Linked DNA regions of Drosophila melanogaster. The protein of the gene in region 1 interacts with the protein of each later gene in a pairwise test. Each region holds a gene or a part of one and is shown on either strand. Other genes may lie near its edges.

Evidence for each region. The genes of interacting proteins can lie anywhere in the genome.
Region 2: the proteins of CG9837 (region 1) and LSm7 interact in a two-hybrid assay, tested with the Drosophila melanogaster proteins (one large-scale study listed by BioGRID).
Region 3: the proteins of CG9837 (region 1) and CG15764 interact in a two-hybrid assay, tested with the Drosophila melanogaster proteins (one large-scale study listed by BioGRID).

Annotation. Positions count from the first base shown.
Region 1 is NT_033777.3:8,804,934-8,814,311, reverse strand, and holds CG9837 (uncharacterized protein), read left to right. Parts: upstream 1-4,500; 5' UTR 4,501-4,529; coding exon 4,530-4,583; intron 4,584-4,644; coding exon 4,645-5,214; 3' UTR 5,215-6,633; downstream 6,634-9,378. Other genes in the region: hng2 (hinge2), read right to left, coding at 7,129-7,679, 7,733-7,946; CG9839 (uncharacterized protein), read left to right, coding at 8,814-9,120, 9,186-9,378; CCT7 (chaperonin containing TCP1 subunit 7), read right to left, coding at 8,293-8,519.
Region 2 is NT_033779.5:16,738,652-16,746,431, reverse strand, and holds LSm7 (uncharacterized protein), read left to right. Parts: upstream 1-3,331; 5' UTR 3,332-3,371; coding exon 3,372-3,386; intron 3,387-3,445; coding exon 3,446-3,763; 3' UTR 3,764-3,806; exon of another isoform or gene 3,807-3,989; 3' UTR 3,990-4,117; downstream 4,118-7,780. Other genes in the region: BuGZ (Bub3 interacting GLEBS and zinc finger domain protein), read right to left, coding at 1-205, 1,325-1,742, 2,047-2,308, 2,365-2,672, 2,868-2,902; ChLD3 (chitin and LDLR binding deacetylase 3), read right to left, coding at 4,207-4,485, 4,544-5,066, 5,128-5,860, 7,238-7,436.
Region 3 is NC_004354.4:5,865,468-5,873,929, forward strand, and holds CG15764 (uncharacterized protein), read left to right. Parts: upstream 1-3,627; 5' UTR 3,628-3,714; coding exon 3,715-4,596; 3' UTR 4,597-4,799; downstream 4,800-8,462. Other genes in the region: GAA1 (glycosylphosphatidylinositol anchor attachment 1), read right to left, coding at 5,636-5,803, 5,873-7,551, 7,612-7,789.

The DNA of each region.
Region 1 (9,378 bases):
TGAAAACTAAAAAGCGCTTTGCTAGGAGATCGAAACAAAGGAAAATGCGCATATAGTACATATGCATATAAATATACATACATACATATTACATATATAAATGCAGCTGCATTTGTGCTGCGATTTCACAAACACCCAGATATTGCGACATAAATGCATGCAAAGTAAAATAAAACGATAAGCAACTTTACAGAGCCGAAGGGCATACATGTAATAGAACCATTTCCAACTCCGTTTCGATGTGAAAAACTATCCTGATTGTTCCTATGTTAGTTCTGAGTAGATGCAACCGCAATCGGATCGGCGAATCCATTAACAACTATGCAATAAGTGCGAATTGTCATTGTGCGTTGAGGAAATTTATATAGATACGCAACAACATGTAAGCATTTTATAGATTCTTACACAGCAGTCAGCATGATAACGATAAATGTTTAAAAGTTTTACCACATCACCACTACACAAAATAGATACATACATGTTTAAGAAGTTTATATACATAAATTGATATGAGACGACCGATAAGATCGTAGCCAGAGAGCTCAGCTAGCAGCAAAGTCAAGTTAAAACTCAAACAAAACAAACAATTGCCTAACGATCAAACAATCAATGTGTAAATCCCCTCCCAAAAAACACCCCATCCAGTCGATGAATCCCCACATCCCATTCCCATTCCCATTCCCACCTAACCCATCCAACTTCCCCAAATCCCCTAAAACGTGAACAGAGAGATACAAATATTTTCAATGGAAACCCCGAACGAGATCCAGATGACGTCCAACTACTCCGGCCGAAAAATCCACATGCCATATAGTAAATTGGATTTTTTCAGCCCAGATCCTATTTTTACTAGCTTAAAGTTTTTAGTTCTTGGATCAGAAATAAGCTTATAATCCATTAAATACGCTCCTTTTTAACTTTTTCAAACTGAAAATTGCTTACAAAGCCAAAATATTTATGAGTTAACTTTTTCGATTCGAAAAAATTGAGTCAAGGCAACTTCTCGAGTTTCGAGTGTCAACAGCGATAGGAAGGGAATTTCCATTTGGTTAGATGTTTAAAAACCCATTTACATATGATAATGATTTCCTATGAGTTCTTTGTTGAAACAGATGTTTAAAAAATGGAGCTTGGCTGATTGCAAAATTGAACAAAGTTGAAGTGAATATGGGTATGGATGGCTTATTGGATATTTCGATTTAGGAGGTAAAAGTCCGCGACTTCGATGGAACCCCCGAAAAGTGGCGATCCCAGAAGGAGGACGGTGGAGAGAGAGAGCTGTTGGATCAGTTTAGTTCACAGGTAAGTTGGCAAAACGCGAATGTGACTCACTGGCGGTACAAACTAGTATTATCTAGGTGGATTTCTCTAGAGGTTGCTCGAAGAAAAAACAGACGCCGTGCGAGTGGTGAACGTGCTTCGAATCACCTTATCTCGCACCTACCGCGCTCCACACAGAGAAACAAATATGCTGCAACTTTACACGTTTTAAATGCAGTTTTCTAAACAAAAATATATGTGTGAAATTTGTATACCCATTTAGATCAATTTTAACGTGCTTTGATAAGTCTCGAAAACGATTTGAGTTTCGGATGAAATGAATCATCACCCCAATTGTTACTCTGCATTTGATGTTTCTGTTTTTTACCTCGCCGCTTTGGGATTTCTTTATAAACGATGTCGCAAAAGAAAACTGGATTCACAGGCAACACACTATGTGGGCAATGGGCTTCGGTTTTGAATTCGGTGTCGTTGTTTACCGCTTCGCTACCCCTGAAGTAAATACGTTCATACATATGCATGTATATATGTACTTACCATTATGTTTGTACTTTATATGTACCATATCCGATCGAGTCGAATGAATACAAGACAATAACTGTACGGGTTGTCCATATTTGAGCATCGAAAGCGTTTTTCCCTCGACGAATTCATTTAATGCTGAGACCCGTAGTCTTTAATTTTTGTGTAATGCTCTCAACGATTTTCAGGCCACCCCCGAGAAATACATATACATGAACATATGTATGTATAACTGAGGACGGTGTTTACGTAGTGACGAAAAGCACGCAGAGTATATATATAGTAGTATATGAGTATATATACTCAGTATATATATGTATACTGGAATAAAAATGTAAAATATTTAGATGAAACTTTAATATTTATGGGTATCCGGTAGGTGCTCGTGCATTGTTGTTTTCAAACTCCACTAGATATGTATCTACATATGTGTGCTACCCATATTTGTTGCCCTGGATGCCTGTATGTCTGCACACAAACTTAAGGCAAATCAAAAGCGTAAACAATTTTGTTTTTATTTTGCTTTTGGTTGCTTCTCTTTTATTTTAATGGCGCTTTGCTTAAGCTAATTGCAATCTATAAATGGCGACGGCGATAGTGGATTTCAGCGAGGTTGTCGGTGAAGGGGTATATACTTCGCCCCTCCCCCCACACGACCGTTTGAATTCGCGATTGCAAACATAAAAACAAAAGCCCAGAGCTAAAGAAAAAACAGATATATGTATAAATCATGGGGAAACGTGACTAAATGGAATCGTTCATACCCCTTGATTGGCATTTAGACATCACTTCGATGTACATTGTTTATAACCTATAAATTTCTGAATGTAAAATAAATTGTTATGCTTATTAGCAAAGCGTTCTAAATATATAAGATAACGCTTTCGTCCAATATACCCTAACTGCGGGGTATCCAAAGCGAGATGTGGCTAAACAAAAAGTTGCGTGCACTGGTCTCGGACTGGGCCCGTAGATGTATCTGTATCTACGCAATTGGTATCTGTAAGATACACACACATCCGAATGTTCACGTTGTGCCGCCACACGCGCTGTGTGCCGAGCGGGATGGAGATACTGGTGGAGCGAGATGGGAGGCGTTCGTATTTACAAGTTTTGTGCGTTGGTCTCTGACGACCCCTTGGCCACCCATCTCCTACGTCCCCCTGGTCACAGTCCCCATTCCTCACTCCCCTGTATTTTTGTACAACCATATGTATGTATGTACGTATGCGTGCAAAGTACGCAAATGGCGAAGAAAAATATTAAAAAAATATAAATATAAAAATAAGTTAAACACACAAGAGAAAAATATTCACTTCAAGTGAATTCTGGTAGTGTATTTTAATGTATTTATGGGCTATAAAGATTTGATCTTTTCGAGTTTCATTTATTGCTGTTATTGATGTTTCGCTGGAACACTATGTTTTTTTTCTTATCAAAACTTTTTAAGAAAATTACCAGCTAGGAAACTCCACTTGAACTCTTGGTTCTTTCGTGCTCATAAAAATATCAACAGTTTTTTATGTGTATAAATTGTGAATATATTATGGGCAATCTCATGTGAGTGTGTGTCAACGGTTATTTTATTTTTTTTCCTTTCGGTTTTTGTTATTTTCAGGCAGTGGAATAATTTTATTCTGCTGCGCAATTTCTACTATTGATTCCCATTCGTATTCCCACATTTTATGCTTTTCTTTGGCCTGCCCCTATCGCCATGGCTTCGCTTCCATGAACTGCCCTGCTTTGATACCATTTTCTAAATTAAGGCATACTTTCGCACAAACAAACATTCGACTGTGTACATATACATATGTACATATATGTGGGGTACTTGCGGACCCTGATAGCATTCGCACCTTATCGCTATAGTGGCTCTGTGTACATTATAATTATTATTGCACGCGTAAACATCATATATAGCGATAAGAGCGGTTGTTGTTACCTCAGACGGATGATAAGCGTAGTGTAGTCAAGCAGATGTTAACCCTTAGAGAGTCGGAAATTCGGTTGAGTTCGTAACGGAAATGACTCTGTGAAATGGGTTCCCAAAAAAGGTGGATGATTCACGGACTCCAAATACCCATGCGGGCTATTAACCAGTCCATCTTTTATGTCACATGTATTAAGATTATATTTATATAGCACACATTTTTTCTTAAATTGTTTAAATTTTTATACCAAATGGGAACTATATCCATATCAGGCAATTAATATTAACTGCTTTTTGGATCACCCTCAATAATGCATACAATCTGCATACTCATTGTTTTATTACAATACAACTACCACTAATTAATATTAATAGACCACATATGATATGGCATTCGTTTAGTCAGTTTAAGATAATTCTGAATTCTGTATACCCTCGGCAGGTTCAAAGAACTTACTAGTTTCCATAGAGGTCATATTGGATACGAAGCTTTCAGCAAATTGAAATACTTGCTATTCCAAGCGCCTTGAAATGGTTTTAGGTTGGCAATCGCTCACCTCACTGTATTGACTTTTCATCTCGGCGAACACGTGACTTGCGCTTTGTCTGGCAATATGTATTCCCATAGCTAGAAAACTCATTGAATGTGAATGAATCTGTTATCGGTCAAGTGGGAACGATGTGTGATAACCCCGTGGTTTGATAAGCGTCGATGTCGAGCTTGGATTGCATGAAGTGGTCTGATCGTGAGATTTCAGCTTGGAATCAGTCAAACATTTCCCAGTTCACCGACAAGATGTGGTCCTCTAAGACTATTTTGGTTTTCCTAGCAGCATTTACTTTGGTCCAGGCATGTTTCCGATTGTGCAAGCCTGCTGGATGTTTCTTAACAAAATTTCTAATCCTTATAGGGTAGCATGCGGTTTCACTTCACCTTGGACTTTCACGTACAGCAGCCGCCGAATGCATCCGACACCATCGACAAGACCATTATTGTGGAGAACGATCGGATATCTATGGTGGACAACGAAGGAGCGACTACTAAGGCTCCGATGACCCAGTGGACAGATCAGGATCAGTATAATCAGGACGCATTGCTGAAGGTGACCGATACGCGCAGATCGGTGCAACAGCTGAATACGGAGCTCTCACCCCTGGTTGGCAGGAGCACCGATTTGGCCAGAAGGATTAAGCAGAGTATGCGATACGTCAACGAGGTGGATGCTAATCTGGACGATTTGAGCAACTTTGGGCAGCTGGTGGAGCTGCTCAAGAAATTCGTAATCCTAGTCGATAACCTAAGGGATCCAAACAATCTCGGAGGCATTCGAAGCCTGGAGTACGTACTCCTGAAGTTGGCTCTAGAGAAGTACGACCTTCTGAACAAGCGACAGGAGATCGGTGAATACTTGGAAAGGGCGGAGAGTGCCTGGCGAAGATACCAAAACACACAGGTGGTTGTTCTGGATAACTCCACCTGAGTCGGGCTCAGATGCCTAGGACCACCACATTAGGAACTTAGTTTTAGGATAAAACAGAACAAAGACCAGCATCATGGGTCGACACAATCGCTGCACCATGATCTACTAGAGCGGCTCGGCTCTTGAAAGGAATAAAAGACATCGAAGGGACTTCCTGTCTATTATTCGATTTCACTGCAATGCCCAGAATTGCTACAGGTATGCGAGGGGAGGTATTCCAGGGGTAGAATACCCTAAATTCCCTTCGGTGCCCGGTTTCGTTAAGGCTGGAAAGTACGTTACACACGCTGGGAATGCCTTTGTACACTGCAAAAAATTTAAGTTAGACCTAGAAGAGTAAGCAATCATGATAAATAAGTATTTTACCCTAAACAAAAATTCTGCTTGATTTTTATTTGTTTTATTTTTCCCTAAAAAACTGCACCTGCAATCATTTTCGTGAAGTATTGATTTATTGATATTGATGTAGATTTCCTATCAGTAGAATCTACATTTCTTGCATAGCAATTCATTTAATCTAATCAAAATAACAGTAATAAAATACTTAAAAAAGAAAATACGATAAAGTTTTCAGTGCATTTCCATTCAGCAGATGCAGGTAGTCGGAATCGAGGAACTAAGGGACCTTTTAATAGGGTAGAACAGCTGCCAGAGCCGTTGCTAATAGATGAAGTGGAGGGTAGGGTCCCGAACGCGGGCAGAAATTTCCGAAACCCGAAACAACCACTAACAAAAACCATATGCAGTTAAGTGGGAAATGGAATGGGGCGATCCCGAGGAGAACGGCATCATCAGGACGTTACGAGTACCATTTGTCGGGTGAATTGTGGGGGCGGGTATTCGGGGTAACGATATCGTCGTACCCCCCATAGATGGTACTCAGGGAATTCCCAGCAGTGTGGAACGCTTGAAAGCCGACACCGCATCCAAATCTCTGTGTTACCCCTATGGGTTCCTTAACGGTTTTCAGCGATTTCTTTTTAGGGGTGTCGTCTGGAGTGTCGACTTATAAATACGCTCGTACAATCCATAAATGTGCCTTTGTGTTGAACAAAAACCATGAAGAAATCGGTATACATAATGAAAACTCGATTGGCATAAGAGGTACAAGCTGTATGAATACAGGTTTCAACTCTTTTTTGTATCAACATCAGCCGAAACTGGTCAAACGGCTTTGGAACATGGGCCATCCGATGGCTTATGTATCGTTTTGACAGTTTATGTTTATACTAAAATTTCGCTGCAGGCGATAAATATGTATTGAGACAGCATCCGGCCCAAGAAAGTAGTGGCTAGGGGGATGAATAACAGAACATGGGATTTATGTAAAAATATCAATTACACATGTGGACAATTTGCTTGCATACATAGTTAATATACATATGAGCATATATATTCATATGAAATTCCATACAAATCCATGTTGTATGAAATTGATATTGAAACCCACGTATAAAAATATATTGCCGTCGTTAGATAATTTATGGTTTAAAACAAAATAAAATGCATATTTTTTATACATTATTTAATGTTGTTTTTAATGTTTTTTTCATTGTCTTAAATAACTCTACAACTATTGTATTATTATCAAAAATTACAAAAGTAAGCGTATAATATATACATTGCGCAAAACACAGAAGTTACTATGAGAAAACTATTTGACGCATTATTAAGAACTAAAAAAAATAATTGAATCATTGGTTGCATTAAAGTTTAACCCCTGGTTTGTGAATATTATTGTTTGTATATTAAATTACAAATTACAGTTCATTATTTAAATTTCGCGCCCTAAAGATTAGACGATTTACGATAACGATTAAATGTATTCTTATTGCTTATGTTAACTTGCTGTTAAACGAATTTTGCCCTTCTTGTAAATGCATTTGTAAATGATTTGACTTCTGTAGTGAATATTCAATTCGGCTTGAAGTTTCGTAGGATTTTCAGGACCTCGATCTGAAAGTCAAGCTTGCGATCGGCGCACATCTGCTGCATGTGAGGCTTAATGGTGTCGAAGAAGGCCTGATCAGGATCGGCGGACAAGTAGGCGGTATTTGTACTGCAGGGTGGATCTGATGGTAACTGTGGAATATATGCGATTTCCGGAGTGGCGGTGTCCTCCTTGGCGCAGCCCAGATCTCCCAGAACCGTATTTATGTTGCTTGGTATGGCTGGATTGCGGATGGCAGGCTCAATATTCGATTCTTGGTCGGAGTTTCTCTTTCGTGGAGTCTTTGCAGATCTCTGTGCGGCAGTGCTCACTCGCTTCCGTTTGGCCTGGGGCTTGGGTTGCTCCTTCAAGGATTCTACATCGTCCTCCGACTCTGCTTTCACGTTCAGCAGGAAACTCAGTTCCTTTTCGTAGATGTAGGAAGCTCTGGCCACCTCCTCGCCACTTTGACGTAGTCGGTTGACCCGTAGGTAGCTGTCCCTCGTGTTTTTCCAACGTTTGAGCAGTGTTTTAACTGGAATTGGAAGTTATGTATGATATAGACTCAAAAAGGTAGCCACCACCTACCTATTTCCTGCTTCTCCGGCTCGCTGGAGTCGTCAAAATTCGAGCAAAGCTCGTGGCCAATTTGCTGCCAGGCCTCATCTCTGAGTTCGCGGTTATGGAAGTTTGGGTGGCTTCGTTCCCATATAATAGAACGTTTGTGTACCGCGTCAATGAACTCGTACATCGAATAGCGCAAATTGCTTCCTGCCGATCGAAGAACTTTATGATTGCCCATTATTTATTGTTTATTTAAGGGTTGGATTGGATTGACAATATGTTGCTTGCGTTTAACAGCACCACGGGCAGCTGCTTAACAGCACTCCCCGCAGAGTTGCCACCTCGCCCCGCATTTAAACTAAAAACGTTCTGATGTTATGAAAATACAAATTTCAATTTTGTGTTTTATTATTAAACATATACAGATAGGTCAGTGGATTATTGTTGCTGTTGTTCTTGCTTCGAAGCGTGCGAAATGCGAAGGTATGACCGAGTAATACGTGTACGTGTTAAATTAGGAGAGAAATGCAAGTGAGTTTTGATGATTAGGGTGTAGTGTTCTCTGGATTTCTGAATGATTCTATTTACATGGGCCTGCCCATTCCGCGGCCCATTCCCATGCCACCGCCGGCCATCGGGGGTTCTCCGGCCTTGGGACTCTTTATTGTCTCATCGACGGAAAGGATCATGCAGGCTGCCTCGGCGGCCGCCGTCAGTGCATTGATCTTAATGATGGACGGCTCCCAGACGCACTGCTCATAGTTGTCCGAAATGTCTTCCTTGTTGATGTCGACGCCGTACCACTGTCCTCCTGTAAAAAGGTAAATGTATAAAATTATAATAATTATTAATTAGAGTTCAAAATTACACGACCGATTTGAATTCGCCAACGATTTTTGCAGGTAACATTTCGTTCAGGTGGCAACGCCGCTTACAGCCCGCGCAATAAACGAATTGAGAAGGTGCGAAAGAGCACAACATACAGCACATGTGACTCGAGTGAGAGAGGACGAGTGACAGTGAGGTCGAAGAAAAACACGCGTTGCTGCGGCTAAAATTTCCTCTGTATTTACATTATTTGGAAGAGAAAACGCAGCCAAACGAAATGTCCAGCTCCGGAAGAAAGCGCAAGCAGCAACTTAAGCCGCGTCAGGACGATCACCGGTCGCCGGTGAAGCGACGCAGTGTGGACATCAAGTCGGAACCCTTGGACGGCTATCCGGCGCTAGCAGACTACGATTTAAGTACGGCCGATATCAAGCCGGATCTCACTGAACTCCAATTGCAGCTGGTGGCGGAGCAGCAGGCGGCCAGCAACACCATTCGCTTGGAATTGGAACAGCAAGAGAGTGATTCCGACGAGGATGGCTACTCAGAGCTCGATTACCAAGCTGAAGATGTCTTCTGTCAGGGTAAGAAGGGTGCTCCTCCCGTCATTTCAAGACCCCACTTATAAAATTATCCTTTTTAAACCCAGACGATATGGATGACTACGATCCAGATTGGTCCAGCCAGCAGACGGGTTCCCGACTGCTCTTCAAATTTCCCATCCAGCAGAGTGGCCTGAAATTCGGACAACGCTTCCAGGGACCACAGCACTACTTCAACCAAGTGCTGGGAAATCGCTCCAAGTTCTTCAGTTCCCTGGCCCAAAGCTGCAACCTAAAGGG
Region 2 (7,780 bases), on another chromosome or scaffold:
CCTGCTGTTGCACAGCGGCTTGCTGTTGCTGCTGAGCCGCCTGTTGCTGCTGTACTGCCTGCTGCTGTGCTGCCACAGCGTGTGCCACATGCGCGGCTTGCACCTGAGCTTGGACCACGGCCTGGGCTTGCGCTTGGGCCTGCACCTGGGCAGCATGTGCGTGTGCGTGTGCCTGCGCCTGTGCCACGGCAACTAGAGCGGCGTTCTGTAAGAAAATGTTTGGAATCGATTGAATTTATCTCACTTGCCACTGGGAGGGTGTAGTTTCGGGGTCAACCCAAAAAAAATGTATCCTGACTGAGTCAGGTCTCTATGTACCTATCGTGGTAACAAAAAAATTTGCTTAAGGGTTTCAAAAAAACGGGGCTGAACCCCAAATGAAAAAATAGAATTGCAGATTGTAAGCTGCTGAAGTAACAAAAATTGACGAACAAAAATTACTAGATCATATCAAGAATTAAAGTAATCATCTAATTTAAGATTCCCTATTTAAAAATGAGTTTTTAGCCTGCGCTTGATGTAAAAAACGCTTCCTAAGCGTGTATGGAACCGACTACATAGATTTCTAAAACATACTAAGCAAGCTGGCTTCAAACCTGCCCCTATGATCCAATTAAATCAGCCCACCCGCTATAAAGAATTTCACTATTTATCAGTGGGCATGTGAATTGCATTTCAGCTGCTTCCGCTTTACCTTTAAGATACAAAACTAGCACATGTGTTGGCATATCACATTGATGGAGATTACTTTTAGGGCCAAGACAATGCGAAACCTTGCTTTTCCCTTCTATCGAGTTCTCTATGTGTTGAGGTAAAATGTTTTAAATCAAATTAATTAAATTGAAAACCGCCGTTTCATTTGTTTTGTTGCCATTAATTTTTTTTAATTAAAAATTGTACAGACATATATCATACTATATGCTAAAAAAAGTTTTCTTTTCTTTTTAATGTTGTTTCGTATTGTGTGATTCTCGTAATCTGTTTGCTCTCGTACGCTGTGGTCGTCTAAACGTAACTTCCGCTGTCGCAATTTGCGATCTGCGCAGAGTAAATGTATAAAAGTGTCCAGTTTGGAAAAATGGAATTCTGTTAGAATGCTGAATGCATTCTCTTAAAATGCAGTCGAAATTGGGTCAGGTTTTTTTATGTGCAATTACATTTATTCTTTCATTATTTTTCTTTTTTTGGAGGAAATTGTCTTTTTTACACGTCCTCGTTTCAGTCCGTTGTGCTTGTCATTTCCTGTTAATCAGTGGAAGTCGTTTCCGTCACGGTCTGTTTATTTATATTGACTATGGTTTCTATAACTATGATAAGAACTCACTTCCTGGGCCTTCGACATGGCTGCGGAGACGACAATCGAGTTAGCCATGCCACTGCTGCTATTGCTACCCGTGGGCGAGATCCCGGCCAGCGACGGGGGCGGCGGAGTGGTGGGAATCGACGTAGAGGGGCCACCATTGTTGCTGGGACTCTTGCGACTTTGTGGATTCGCCAGTGAAGCCAAAGCGGCCGCCAACCGTGCTTGTATTTTCGGTTGGCGCGCGCGCAATTCTTCCAGACTCAGGTCCTCCTGTGGATGCATAATCTTTGTGGTCACAGCAGCAGCGGAAGTTCCGCTTGCCGCCGGTGGAGCTGGAGGTCGCTGCTGGTGTTGCTGAGCATCTGGCGGACCACTTGGTGGTGCGCTGGATGCGCCACCAGCATGATTGGTGGTAGGCGGAGCACTTATGGTAGCATTACTTTAGCAAAAAGAAGAAATAATTGATTTACGTTAGTTAAAAACAAATTCTTAGGATTAAGCCTAATAATAAGTCATTTGACTTGCTTCACAACTATGTTTAATAGGGGAAAACCATTAAAAATGTGCCAATGTGAACAATTATTTGGAGTAGAAAGTATTTCACCTAAAATACCCCCAAAACTGAATTTACATACGAATCGTTTAAAAAAAAAAGATTATTAACAGGGCTCTACGTCTAACTGCTAGCTTTAGAAAAAAAAATTGGAAGGATTCTTATATGGTCTTCCCCTAACGATGCTAACCTGTACGCTGGAAATGTTGGCTTTTGTTGAGCCATGGCGGCGGCGTGGTGATGATGGGCCGCCGCCGCAGCAGCTGCCGCCGATGTTGTGGCCATGGCGGCTGGAAACAAAGGACGCGGAGGCATCATGTGCGGCATCATGGGCACTGGATACGGAGGCAGTGGCGGCATGTGCTGCATCATGCCCATGCCGTACTGCCCCAGCATGTGCGGTGGCATCATGTTCGGGGGCATCATCATAGGCGGCGGTACACTCATGGCATCTGCAATGAATGTTGTATAGCGATTTTGTATACAATACAGTTTGCTGATCACTTACATTCTACTTTCTTTTTGGCCACCGGTTCATCATCGTCCGAATCAGACTTGCCACCATTCTTCTGACGTTCGTGATCCCTGAGATCCTCGGCGGGAATGCCGTCCATGCCAAAGATTTCGACTTCAATATTTGAGCGATTGGGCAGCGAGTTGGGGACCTTGTCCACCGTTTCCTTGTGCACCTGCATGCAGTGTATGGATAGTCCGGGTCCGGTGTACAACTTCTTGTGGCAGATGTGGCATTTGAAGTGCTTGGCCTTCTGGTGCTGCACAAGGATCTTTTCGTCATCGAACTCACGGTTGCAGTACCTAGTTTTTTGCGTTAAGAGTTAAGGAAAATTCACGGGGATGCGGCGTTGTAGCCAGTATGCATATACATGTGTGTGTGTATCTACCCCCAACCCAATACCATTATATAAATGTGTGTGTATGTGCAGATACAGCGAGCGGCACATGCAGTGAAAAAATATTTATATCTTTGTTTTGCGAAAAGGATACCAGCACCAGGGTTTGGAGGCCTTCTTCTTCTTGCGTCCCATGATCCTAAGGTGGCTTTAAAACACTTAAATGTACAAAATCGATCCGGTAATTGGTAGAAGATAACAATCTGTTGTACTAAAAATTGCTCTGTCGTGGAAAACAAAATGGAGAGCCAGTCAGAGTGACCAGCATATCGATACAAATAAATGAATCTTATCGATATCTTAAACCAATATAATAATTATTATACAAATAAATTGATATGTTCGCCTCAATAGCAAAAGGTAAGAAAATAATTTCACAATGATGACAGTAGAAATAAGAGAACTTTGTTGTCATATTTTTCAAATAACATTAATTCTTACATATGTTTATTCCATTATTATCGATTATGTACCTCAAAAAGCGCGGCCCATAAGATTACTTCACCAGCGCCATCTGCTGGCTAGTAGCGCCTTATTTGGTGTATTTCTAAAAAAATATGCTTTGGTCACTCTTTACCAGCCGGCATTTACCAAAAACAGAATAATGGCAGATAAAAAGGTAAATTAAATAGAATAACTACATTGTGGTGCTTAATCATCAAAATCGTGACTTGTCAGGTGGGTGGCAACAATGACGGTAAGGAGAAGCGCCGCAAGGAGTCCATTCTGGACCTCTCCAAGTACTTGGAGAAACAGATCCGCGTGAAATTCGCGGGCGGCCGCGAGGCATCCGGAATCCTCAAGGGCTACGATGCGCTGCTCAATCTGGTGCTGGACAACACGGTGGAGTATCTGCGCGACTCGGATGAGCCCTACAAACTGACCGAGGAGCAGACCCGCAGCCTGGGACTGGTCGTCTGTCGCGGCACAGCCCTCGTCCTCATTTGTCCGCAAGACGGAGTCGAGAGCATCGCCAATCCGTTTATAACGCAATAGTCCAAGGTTTTGTGGCTGGGATGCGTTCCAGAATGTAGACTAAGTACAAAGCTCTTTTGGAAATCGGTTTAAATATATTTAGCGGAGACATACATACGTATAAATTAGTTCTTAAAATCTAATCAGGCCGCAAAGTACCACGTTTATGAGCCCGCGAAATTGTTTAAGCTTCTCCATAAAATTCAGAGTGTTCCGATTTTAAATTAATGCACTTTATCCTCTTCAGGTATGTTACGAAGTTATCTACGGGTTTGCTTACGGTCAGATTTTGAAAGCTGAATCATCTAAATATGCGTAATCCAATTTATAAATATTAATTTTTCTAAACAATTAAAACCTAAAATTGTATCAATCTTATCCAATTACTTATGGAACGCTCCAAACATTATGGATATATCAAAGCGCCTTGCGCAGAGCCCTATAGTGTCAAGCGGGCTATCACCTTAGTCCAAGCCGAACTCGTTGCGAATCCAGGGATACTGGGCAGGACACTCCATGCAAGTGTAGAAGAATCGATCCTCTTGCAGCACCCGACTACGCACCTTGCACACATTCGGCGTGTTGCAGACCTGCTCGTGGGGATCCAAGTCCTTCGGTTGGCAGTGCCAGGACTCGAATTGGTGCAGCTGGTTGCTGGGCGTGGGATGGCGCATCCACTGAATCGCCTGCTGGTTAGTCACGAAGAACACATCCGGCAGCTTTTGCAGATCGTCGAGGAATTTCTAAATGATCAGGAAGGAATGAAGATCTAGTATTATGGGTAACAATTCGAATATTCACCAGAAATGCATTCAGATAGTCGACTTTCTTGAACCAAGTCGAATGGAAATACAGGCCAAATGGTGCCCTATTGCTGAGGTAGTGCCTCTTGAAGTTGTGCGTGAGCATTCTGTACACATCCTCGCCGCTCAAATGCGGCGGACACGTGTCCACCATGCCGCACATATACTCGCCCACTTCCAGTTGGTTCATAACCAGCTCCCAAATGCCCGGATAACTCCTAGACGGGCAATTCTGATTTACGCCCGTGCAGCTGTGCGGCATCTTGTAGTCCAAGGTGTAGGGCCACAGAGGAGGATTCGAATGCGGCGCAACCATGGATGAATCGTACACGAAGCCAAACTCCTTCATCATGAGAAACTGTCGATTCCAGCCGACGCGCAGAAAGGGTACTCTCATGCCACGAATCTCCTCCATTCGTACCGCTGCGAACTTATTGATTATATTCGCCTGGCCAACCATCTCATCGAACCAATCCTCAATTGTGGCATTCTTGGACCACCACATCTCTGGGCCACGATGCCTTTAATCAATAAAAGTGAAATTTCAATTTTAAATAATTTACAGGCTGATCAACAACTTACGTTACTGAGTGCACTGCGATCTCGTGACCATCGTTCCAAAGCTTCTGCACATACTGATAGTTGGTAAACGGATGTGAAACGTAGAATGTGCCCTTAATGGGACACCCGTTGGGGTTTCGCCTGTGCTGTGTGAACAAAACCTTGGAGAACAGCTCCCAGTTATCGTGATTGATGGCATCGTCGAAGGTCAACAGTATCATCTGCGGAACACTCTGTGCCGGAAGACTGCCGGGTATCTGGGTGCCATCCTTCGAGCAGAAGCACTGCGGCAAATGGCACTTTCGCGGATCACAGGCACCAGCCGCATTCGGATCGTGCTCCACATCGCACCAGCCTTCGTCGGAGCCGTCGGGACAGTCTACCGAACCATCGCAGAAGTACTCCTGCGGCAGGCAGGTACCATCGGCGCAGCCCAACTGGTATTCATCCGCACAGTCGGCCATCTCCAGTAGTGGTTTTGGAGCCGGCGTCTCCGCGCTGACATCGCAATTGTCCACATTCGCCTTGAAGTCGCAGATCTGACGCACCACATCGAAGAGCAATCCCTCGGAGCACTTGAATTCGAACACCTCACCGTCGAGGCAGAGGAAATACTTGGCGCACTCGCTGTTCGTCCAGATCTTGTGGACCGGCCTGTTGGGGTTGCGGTAGAAGCGTGCATCTTGCATGCAACTGGCTGCGCCGGAGGTCGAGCGACGATGCCGAGTTTGGTTGCCGACTATTCCATCATTGTCTGCAAAGCAGGCACACAAAAAAAGAAACTGGGTGTGAGATAGCCGTGTGTAATTAACAAGGAGACTGATTACTGATTAATGCATTGACCCAAAAACGAAACCGCTCACGTCAGCCCAAAATTAGCCGCTTGCAGAAATATTTTTGCTTTTTTCCAGCTGGATACCAATCACGCACTGAAATGGGTGGTGCGCATAGTTGCCAATAGTAGTCAACTATTACGGAGCAAGACGACAAAAAACAAAAAAAAAACCCACGTCGCTACTTCAATTGAAACGAAAAGTTGGACAAACTTCAAGGAAATATATGTATATATGAATGTGTGTAGGCCACTTGCTCGCTTAGAAGTGCCTGAATTCCGAGGACCGTTGGACTTCGATGACCTTTTTGATTGGCTCGAGGCCTCAATTAACATTATATTAACCATAATGTGATCTTAGATGATCTTCCGCCGTGATTTAAACGTGATGGAAACAATAGTAAGACAACTAGTCACGAAGTACAGCTGGCACTAAACTAGCACTCAAAATTATGTTGACTTGCCATTTAAAAATATTTTTCCAATTTATATGCACTGGCAAACTTGGAAATGATTATGAATATTGAAAATATTGGATAAATATTGCTAGAATTGAGTGTAAACTATGGAGCACCTTTGAGATAAGTATAGTAAATTGTTGAACTTTTTCAAATCACTTGTGTAATAGGTCTTTCTGAAACTAACGCCAGCTCCACCCACTTGGAAATGCGTCCCAGCCATGTGCCACATTGCGGCGGACGGGTTGAAATGCGTTTGCATCATGGATCGGCAGCAATGGCCCGTAGCCGTGCCGCACCATATCGTAACTCAGGCGGTTGGGCAAGCGACGCGTGTTGGCCAAATGCAAGATGCGATCTCAAGATTGGAGATATGTGCATACATATGTGTGACTATAGTAGATAGACCGACTGACTGACAGTCCGTGTGTGTATATCTCCATCTCCATCTCGATCTCCATCTGAATCTCAATCTGCAGCTCTAGCTGAATGTCTAGCTGGGGCAGCTGGGCATTTGCAGCATTTAGAAAGTAAATTTATCATCTCCGCCGGCCAGAGAGGCCAAGGCAGCGGGTCAGGAAAATTTCAGCAACTGTCATGGGGTTCAATGCACACGCTCTTTTTAGTTTTTTTTTTTTTTTGTTTTGTTTTTTGGGGACGGGTGCGGGCATGTGGACAACCCGACTTGGCCCCACTTGGCTGGTCGTTTCGTGTTATATAACTCCTTCGATTCGATCGACAACTTTCACACCCAATGTGCGCATGCGCGCATGAGCATGCCAAAAACTAAATAAATTCAGTCGTACCCAATCGAAAAGCGAACAAAAGGGGAGAAAATTACCAATGACCAGGGCGTCCAGCGACGACGACATAATCATAAGCGCCACCATCATCCAGATGCACAAACTGGGTAAGCGGTGGGCGTTGGGAATTCGCGCTGTTGGTTGTGGCTTCGAGCGTCGCTGGGCGGAAGCGACGACCTTGACTGTGAAACCCGTTTGGCCATTTGCATTATAGGCATTTTCCCCCGGGCAGAGCATTTTTCAGCCTGCTTTCCACTTTGCCACTCGCGTTTGTGTTTGGCTGCTTGCTTTGAGCGCTTTAATCTTGCGCGCGATCGGAAAACCGAAGGAAAAACCGCCAGTGAAAATGGTTCCGCACCGAGCCAAAGTCGAGTTGTGACTAAAGTCGTGCGAGATGCAGCCAAGGCATTATATATATTTGGGCATTTCTCTGACTTGCGGATAGCGGAGAGAAAGCTCCGCGCAGTGGGTGTCTCGCTTATGTTTTTGGGGAGCGCAGAGCGCGCTGAGTTATTCATAATTTCCAAACTATTACACGGCTTTTTTGGAAATTAAGTAGTTTGCTTGCTTATTATGAAATT
Region 3 (8,462 bases), on another chromosome or scaffold:
CTTTTTTTTTCATTTTTTTTGTTTTTTATTATTTTCTTGTCTTTAGCTTTCATACGCTCACAAAAAGTATTTGACTATAGCTAAGTAAAATGTATATATGTATATATCCGGAATACCTGCCAAAATCCATTGAATTACTTCCTTTTTTAGGAGTCATTACAATATTTGATTGCTTAAGAATTCGCGCGACTTCCCTGCACTTGCATTAGCATTCTTTTGGTAAGGGTATTTGGGTCGGCTTTTTGCAACATTTAGTTTTTTGTTGCTTGTTTTTCATTTCACTTCTATCATGTTTCAGTTTTCTTTTTGTACGTACTTAAGCCAGTGACGGAGGCACGTCATAACTTGGCCGTAAAACAGCTGACAACTTGGAGCAGAGAAGAGGGATATGTTATGGCACCTCACCGCCAACACTAGCCCTCTCTCTCTTTCTGGGCCCCGCCCAACCGTCTACCGTTCTGCGCCAGCCAGTTGTTTTAGTGGCTTAATGTGCTAAACAACTGCTCGACATGGGGACAAAGGCAAAGGAATTGAATGCCGGCTGAATTTAGGGACTAAGAAAAGACACTCATCCGTGCTGTACATCCCTCTCTTTCGCTTCCTGTCTCACCCTCTCTTTCACTTCGCTAATGGCGGTGTGTGTGTGTGTGTGTGTGTGCTGCCCGCAAATAAAAAACGTCATGCGGGTAGCTGTTGCTCTATCTACTATCTTCATGCCACCCAATGCAGGCCGCACAAACACACACATAGAAGTACAGTCATAATCCTTTTGAAGCAACCCAGTCGATCAACTTTTTGGTTTGCTAGTTCTGTAGATAACACGACATAGTATAAAAGTAGCCTATGCAAACGAAACGCAAATTCTGCAGGACTATGAACATTTAACTGAATGATGGCATACTTACGCAGTATGCACTGTAAATCCCATTTGAAGTATCTGGCCCTTTTCGCTCAATTTGGCAAATTCCCTCATGCACTCCATTCATTTCTAGTTTGCCTACTCGAGTCTCATTTCGTTTGTCATTCATCCAACGGCCGCCGACTTGCTCAGCTTTCTCCACTTTCCCCAATTTTCTCGCTCTCTTTGTGGGACAAGGCTTTGTTTTCCCCCTTTTCGAAGGACCCATCGTAGGCTCTGATTGTTTGTAAATAAAATCGCAAGTTTTATTGTCGCTGGGCAAACTTTGATTAAGAGCAGCATCAAAGTATTGTAAAAGTCTAAGTAGAAGCGGGGCGAAATTAAATTTTCAAGACAGCCTGGAATACTGGAATAAAAAATCCCCAATCCCCCAACTACTGGTAGTTGAAAACTTTGGAGCGCCACGGAAATCTGCACACACAAAACATATCAGTGGGTTGGAAAGTAGAAAAACAAATACCGAATTCGACAAACTTTACAAATTGAGAGAAATTGGCAGTTTTGACGGCATTTTTATTCGCATGCAATATTATTTCGTTATTTGTTCACTTCTTTCGGTTTGCACTCGCAAAAATCTAGAGATCATTTGTTTCAATCAAAATAGTTGCTCTACGAATTTTGTTTTACAATGCCAATGAAAGCAAATAATCCCATTTTGTACCAAAAATCATTTTCCAATTTTACGCCTAGAAAATAACACAATTATTCTCGTAACAATTGACAGAATCATTCAAATATGGATTGTTATACCTCGTTAAGTTTGTATTTAAATTCCCAATCGAACTGTGTCCAAAAATGGGAATTCTATTTTTTAGCCATTTTTTGTAAATTTTGATGATGTTACCCCTTCCGAAAATGCGAAAAATGACTCAAAAATTATTTTTTCTAAATTGGTCCAAAAGTGATACAGATGGTTAGCCTTCGTTATTAGCTGCTCAAAACAGTTATTTCTTTGGTTTTATGATCATTTTTAGTCAAGTTATGATGAAAACGCTCATCTAAAGTTGTTTAATTTTTGCCAAAATCATTTTTTTCGATTTTCCGTCATAAAATAGTCAGTTTTTTGGCCACAACTTTAAAAATAATTGTCTGAATACGGAATGTCATATCACGTTGAGTTCGTATTTAAATTCCCAATCGAACTGTGTCCAAAAATGGGAATTCCATTTTTTAGCCATTTTTTGTAAATTTTGATGATGTTACCCCTTACCGAAAATGCGAAAATTGGTCCAAAAATTAATTTTCCTAAATCGGTCAAAAAGTGATAGGGATGGTTAGCCTTCGTTATTAGCTGCTCAAAACAGTTATTCTTTTTGCTTTCTGATCACTTTTAGTCAAGTTATGATAACAATGCTCATCTAAAGTTGTTTAATTTTTGCAAAATAATTTTTTTCCATTTTCCGTCTAAGATCTCAGTGTATGTCTATAGTCTTTTGGATGCTTTTTTCTCGTACCTGTCTTTCTATGCGTTTGTTTTCCATTTCACCTGCCCAGTTTTTCGTACTCATCGTTGGCATTCCAAAAAAATGGAGTGCCACGTGACTCCTCGTTGTGGTGGTTTAGGGGGGGGGGGGGGAGGACTATATAGGTCGGGCGGATTGACGCCGCTTGTGCATTGTTTCGAGGGGGCGGACAAAGCACACAAATAACTGTCAAAGTTTCAATTCTTTTCGAAAGTAAAGCCCGGGTAAAAAAAAAAAAAAAAACAAGAAACCGAATCCGAATCCAAAAGCAAACAAAGGCAGAACAATGGTCGAGCAAATTGAAAGCTCTCGATTGGTATTCCTCTATTCCGGACTTGTTTTCCCACTTTTCACTTTTCATTAAAACAGAAGCAGCACGGAAGCGTTGAAAAAAAATCCGCAAAAAACAGCGAAACTAAAATTGAAGTCGCTCTACAAATGGATAAACTCAGTTTGGCAATGGATTTTATTTACAGATCTCATTCAAGGTTCAATTTATGAAACGATTAATAGTTAAAGCAATAAATTTTTTAAAGGGCCGTTCAAGTAGGTTCCATTATCCTTACATCCGCGATGAATGCATGGCTGTTCTGTCCAACCGACACGATAATGCACATACTCATACATATGTACATATATGTTGCACATCAATCCCCCTTTCGCCGACATGCAAAGTGCAACACCTCTCGTTCTTCGAACAATTTTAATTATTTCCACACGCAGCAGCGACGCACTCAGTAAGTCCATGGGCGGCAGAGGGAACCGGCAAAAGAGTGGTCGTTGGAGTGGGATGGTGGGGGGTGGGGGGGCGAACCCGACCGCAGGGAGTGTGTTGTTGGCTTTAACGGGGAATTAAGTCGGGCAACAGGAAGTCAGCGAGCACAATAATTAAGATGAGCGCTCGAGGGGCAATTATGTGACATCAACTTGCCAATTTTAAAACACCCCCGCCCCCCCGCAATCACGAACTCTCCGCATCCCTTTATCCTTCAGTCGAAGGATAATGCGAACGTTTTGGCCAACAGTGGGCTGTGTATAAAGATTTCTAACCATATATAAATATTCTTCGAACTGCATACTTTGCGACACATTCATACACTCAGAGAAAAAAACCTTTGTAAACTTGTAATCTTGGAGTTGGAGTTTTCCGAAACCAGTAGGCCCGTCTCCAACTGGCAACACTTCATTTCACCTAATTTGACAGGGACACACACAACACGTTTGCTCTACGGTTCGGTCGGTAGTACCAAATCTTATATACACTACATCTTCACAGTATAGCCATATATATATATTAATATTATCAAAATTTTCCACTAAACCTGCTTTGGAATGAGCACAGAACATCTGAATGACGCGGCGGAGTCCGTGAGTGCCCGGAGTTTGGCTTTGGATCGCGCTATCGTCAATTTGGTGCACCAGGCCCGTCGCCTCCATTTGAACAGCGTGAATGGCTATACATCTCTGGAGGCATCTCTGGAGAAGGCAGTGCCAGAGTTGCTCACGACTAGGAGTGATACCGCACACCCCACCACCACAGCGACCAGCTCGGCAAGGTCTTTCCCGAAGCGTAGGCCCAGTAGCCTAGCACCACGACCTGCGCCCAAGGCTTTCAAAATGCGCAAGACCGATACGCATCTGAGGACCCCACGTGTCGTCCAGTGTAAGACGGCCCGTATCCCGGTGACGCCACCACCACCGCCACCCTCGCCGCGTTGCCCAAAACCTGGGGAACTTAGTTCGGCCATGGACATGGCCGATCTGCTTCGGATCGAGATCGCCGAGACGGATGCACTGTTGGATCAAATGCTATTCGATGCCAAGGCACTCGAACGCCAGGTGGCGATCCAGTGTCAGTTGCAGAGCGATGCGGAAATGATCCGCAGCCTGGAGATGGAGTACAGTGGGCGATCCATGAGATATCTGATAGAGGCCATTCAGTCGGACTGCGAGAGCCAGGATGTCCAGGATCTCTGGAGCCGATGTCAACGCTCTTTGGAACGCCACGCGGAGCGACAGACGGAGCTGGAGTCCAAAGAGGGTCTGTATCTGGATCGGAATCCAGGCAAGGGCACCGGCAAGGGCACCCAAACCGATATGGCTGACTCTCAGGACGAGATGCTACCTATCTCGTCCAATTCGATTTGCCAATGGTTGCGAAGGGCGATGGGTTCTTTAAGCCAAGAGGATCAGGTGCAGGAGATGGCCATCTAGCGCAGGCCAGCCTTGAATAGTATTTGAATAAAGATACACAACTCTAAAATCACTTGTGTGCTCTGCTGTTTTAACGATGGCCCATAGAAATATTGAAAAGCTGCGATTAGACTAGAACTGCGAGGATTAATTAACTACTACTTGAAAAAGTATATATATTTGTTAACTGATTTATACAGTGATACAGCTCAGTGATTTGACCGAACTCATCTTACAATCTATCTATCCATTTAATAAAAAGATATTCGAAAATTTCTCATTTCTACATTTCGAGTGAAAGTACCACTGTGCCGCCGCAACTTTGTGTCTGCCTTTGAATGGTTGTGTGAGGAAAGTTTTCTTGTTAAGTTGCAGATTGAATGGCGCCGGTAAACACGGTGCGGCAAGTGCAGGGCTCCCAGCTTCGAGGACACCATGCATCCATGCCTCTGATTGAGCCAAATCCTGGCTCATAACTAATTGCCAGCAGCGACGACGATGGCGCTGGCAGCGGTGCAAAGTTTAAATTAAGTTGCGTGTCATAGTCGAAAAGTTTTCCACTTATTCAAAGAGGCACGTGCTCCACTGAGCACTACTCCACGGAGAAACTCCTGTCCTCCACTGGCCAATAACGCCAGCGAAGACGGAGGATTGACAAAAGAAATAATAACCAACGGATGGGAAATATATGCATTACTGCTTTACGTGCAAACAAAGTTGCAAATATAATGGAAAATCCATAAATCACAAGAAGCTACTGATAAAGTTAACCACTTAAGTAATTTAAAATGATAAGTTAACTGGGAATCAACATCGAAAATGCCGTGGTATATTTAATATTTTTTGGATTACATTTACACTTAGTTATTCCAACTAATAAATAGGCTTCTTTTATTTAGACATTTAATCAAATGCATAACATTTAAATGGAATTTTCTCTGCATGTGCAATCTCTTACCGCCATCACACACAGTTTTGTTGGGTTTATCACACTTCATCTTAGGATCATTTCCAGTTGATATATGTAGCCAGTGAATGGCAATCCGTGCTGTTCGTCTCCTCAATTCGTTTTCACCTTTGACTGCGGCTGCGGCGACGTTGATGGCGACTCATCGAAGTCCAGGTAATCTGCGTAGTCGCGTCGCTTGGACAGCGACAAGGTCCAGCAGATGATCCACAGCGGCAGGAAAATCGTGCAGATGACAAAGTACAGCCAGTTGCCATAAATCTGCAATAGGAAAGTATTTTAGTTTATTATCTATGTATGTTAGTAGTGGCAACTGAAATCTTAACTTACCACGGAATCGATAAGTCCATAAGCCGAGGCATCCATGGCCGCGGTGGCCGCCCTCAGCATGATCTTCTGCACCGGCAGCTCCGGGAACTGGTAGAATGTCATGGCCAGCACGATCACATAAACGACCATCATGGGATTCATGACCAGCGTGGCCAAGCGGATCGTGTTCCTCAGCGTGCTGCGCGAGTTCTCCTCCTTGGTCTCCAGCGCGATGACCAGCGGTACAGTCAGCACGGCCGCAAATAAGCCCAGGGCAAAGTTGAGGAGCCCGATGACTATTAAAGCGCAGCCATAGATTAGCAGAAAGGCCACATGCAGCAGCTCCAATCCTCCGGGCGGCAAAACCACCACAAAGGGCAGAACGAAACCGATCAGAGAAAGAAAACTCAGTACTGAGGTGGTCAGTGGTGCGGCGCCCATAGGAATCTCTAGGAAATATTGCTGCAGGGGCAGCACGTTGCACAGGAAACCAATCAACAGGGTGGCAGTAAGGTAAATCAATACCGAACCATACGGCAGCTCGAACTTATCCGGCTCTAGGTTCTCCTCCAGTTCCGCCTCCTGTTCGTGCTCCCTAAGCCAGCCAGCGGCCTTTTCCAGCTCAGCGTTGGTCGCCGGGAGCGTGGACCACGTTAGATAGGCCTTAAGGAAGGCACAAGCTACCAGAGCCACCAAAGCGGGCATATAATCCCCAATGGAGATGTAGCGATCGTTGCTTACGATCACATAGAAGAAAAAGCTTTGATGGAAGCGCTCCAGAAGGTTGTTCAGACTCCTGGCTATTCCCTCGATGGCCTTCAGCAAAGGCACCGCTGCCGATCCTGGGCTGCCCTTCAGTGTGGCATGGGTGGCCCTTCGATTGGCAGCTATGGTCAAAGCATCGATCCGATAACGGTGGAACAGCCCATGATTGCCAGTGGGTACGCCCGACGACTGGCTGGCCAGCATGGTCAGCATCTGGCGGAAGTTCTGCTCGAAGTGCGACTGGCTGTGACGACGCTTCTTGCGTGGCGCTTGTTTATAGCCAGAGGCGATGCCCTCGCGGGCCATAATTCTCTGCACCAGATTGAACATATCCAGATTGGGCAGCTTGCCGTTCAAGCCCTCTATTCGCACATCCACATGGTCAATCTCCAGATCCTGAACTTCAATATTCAGAGCCGCTTGCAGCGAACCAGCGCGAGCGGGCAAATTGCCAGGACGCAGGTACGCCTTGCTCAAGTCCAGTTCCCGGTCGCCATCGTGATAAGCCTCCAGCCAGGCCTGCATGCCCAGCTGCTCCTGTTCGGTGATCAGGAAGATCAGATCCTTCGCCCAGTAGTTCTTGCGCCGGGCAAAATCGGCGAAGGCCAGCAGAAGCGGCACGCTGGCGGAAATGTCCGTGTGCACGGAACTGGCAGCGCGATATGGAGCCGCAAAAACGATGCCCTCCGTGGAGGCAATTCTTGGGGCCCTCAATATGCCGTAGATATTCTTGCCGTGATACTCTTTACCGCCGCCAAATGGGTAGCGCAACGTGTAGTTGTGCGTGTGCGTCTCCAGGCCGAACTCGTTCATCTTGGCCGCAATCCAGGCGTGCGGCGTGGTGGACAGATGATCCTTTCGCTCCCGCTGCAGCTCCTCCAGCAACTGGATGGCCAGACGATTCGCATCGATGCGGATCTCCGGATAGACCAAGCCTACAATAGATCACACCAATTGTTAGCGGCTCTCTTTTGGTGACGCTGCACGTAACTCACCTGGCGAAAGAGCATTCTCGGAGAGATATGTCCCGTGGTTGAACTCCGGCAGCGCCAAACAGAAGAACCAGGCCACACCCGCCACATAAAGGGCGTAGCACACCTTGCGAACATGACGCGCCAGTCCGTCCACCAGCTTGCTTTGCGTCGATATCGACGGATCGGACAGCAGGCCCATTTTGGCTGCCCTATATCCTGTATATATCCCGAATCACAACAACACGAATCGGACAAGCCGGCGGAATTGTATCGATGCGGGCGTTATCGATAACCTCGATAACCGATTGCTTATGACGCTAGGGAGGAGAGGGTTAGCAATGGATTTTAATGCTCGAAATTTTAAACTTGTTTTTCCAATGTTTTCGATATTTCTATATATATTTTTTATTATATCAAAATATACATATTAAGCTAACCTACAAGAAATGTGTTGCAAAAATAATGAAAAGAATAACCTGTCGTTGTAAATATTTATTTAATTTTTCCTCTTTTTGACGTTAATGTAACGACGCATTTATTTGAGAAAGTACATCATGTTCTCAGATTGGAGTTTTTCTTTTTTACAGTTTAAATCATTTATTATTGTTCATTAGTCAGTAGGAATCGTTCAGTTCTTTCTGAACTTAACCTAATGTGTAGCCTAAAAGATATTATGGATTCTCTTCCTTAATTATAGTGTATAAAAATGTACCGTGGAGAGATTATGCTATCTTACGTGTAAGGAGTTCATAGAGATGTATTCTCTTCAGGCGTCGGCATATCGGCTGCTGTGGAAGTTTATTTGGTTTTTAACAAGTCCAGAGTTTTTCGAGATAAAGTAGTTAAAGATATATATTTCAAGAACACAGAAG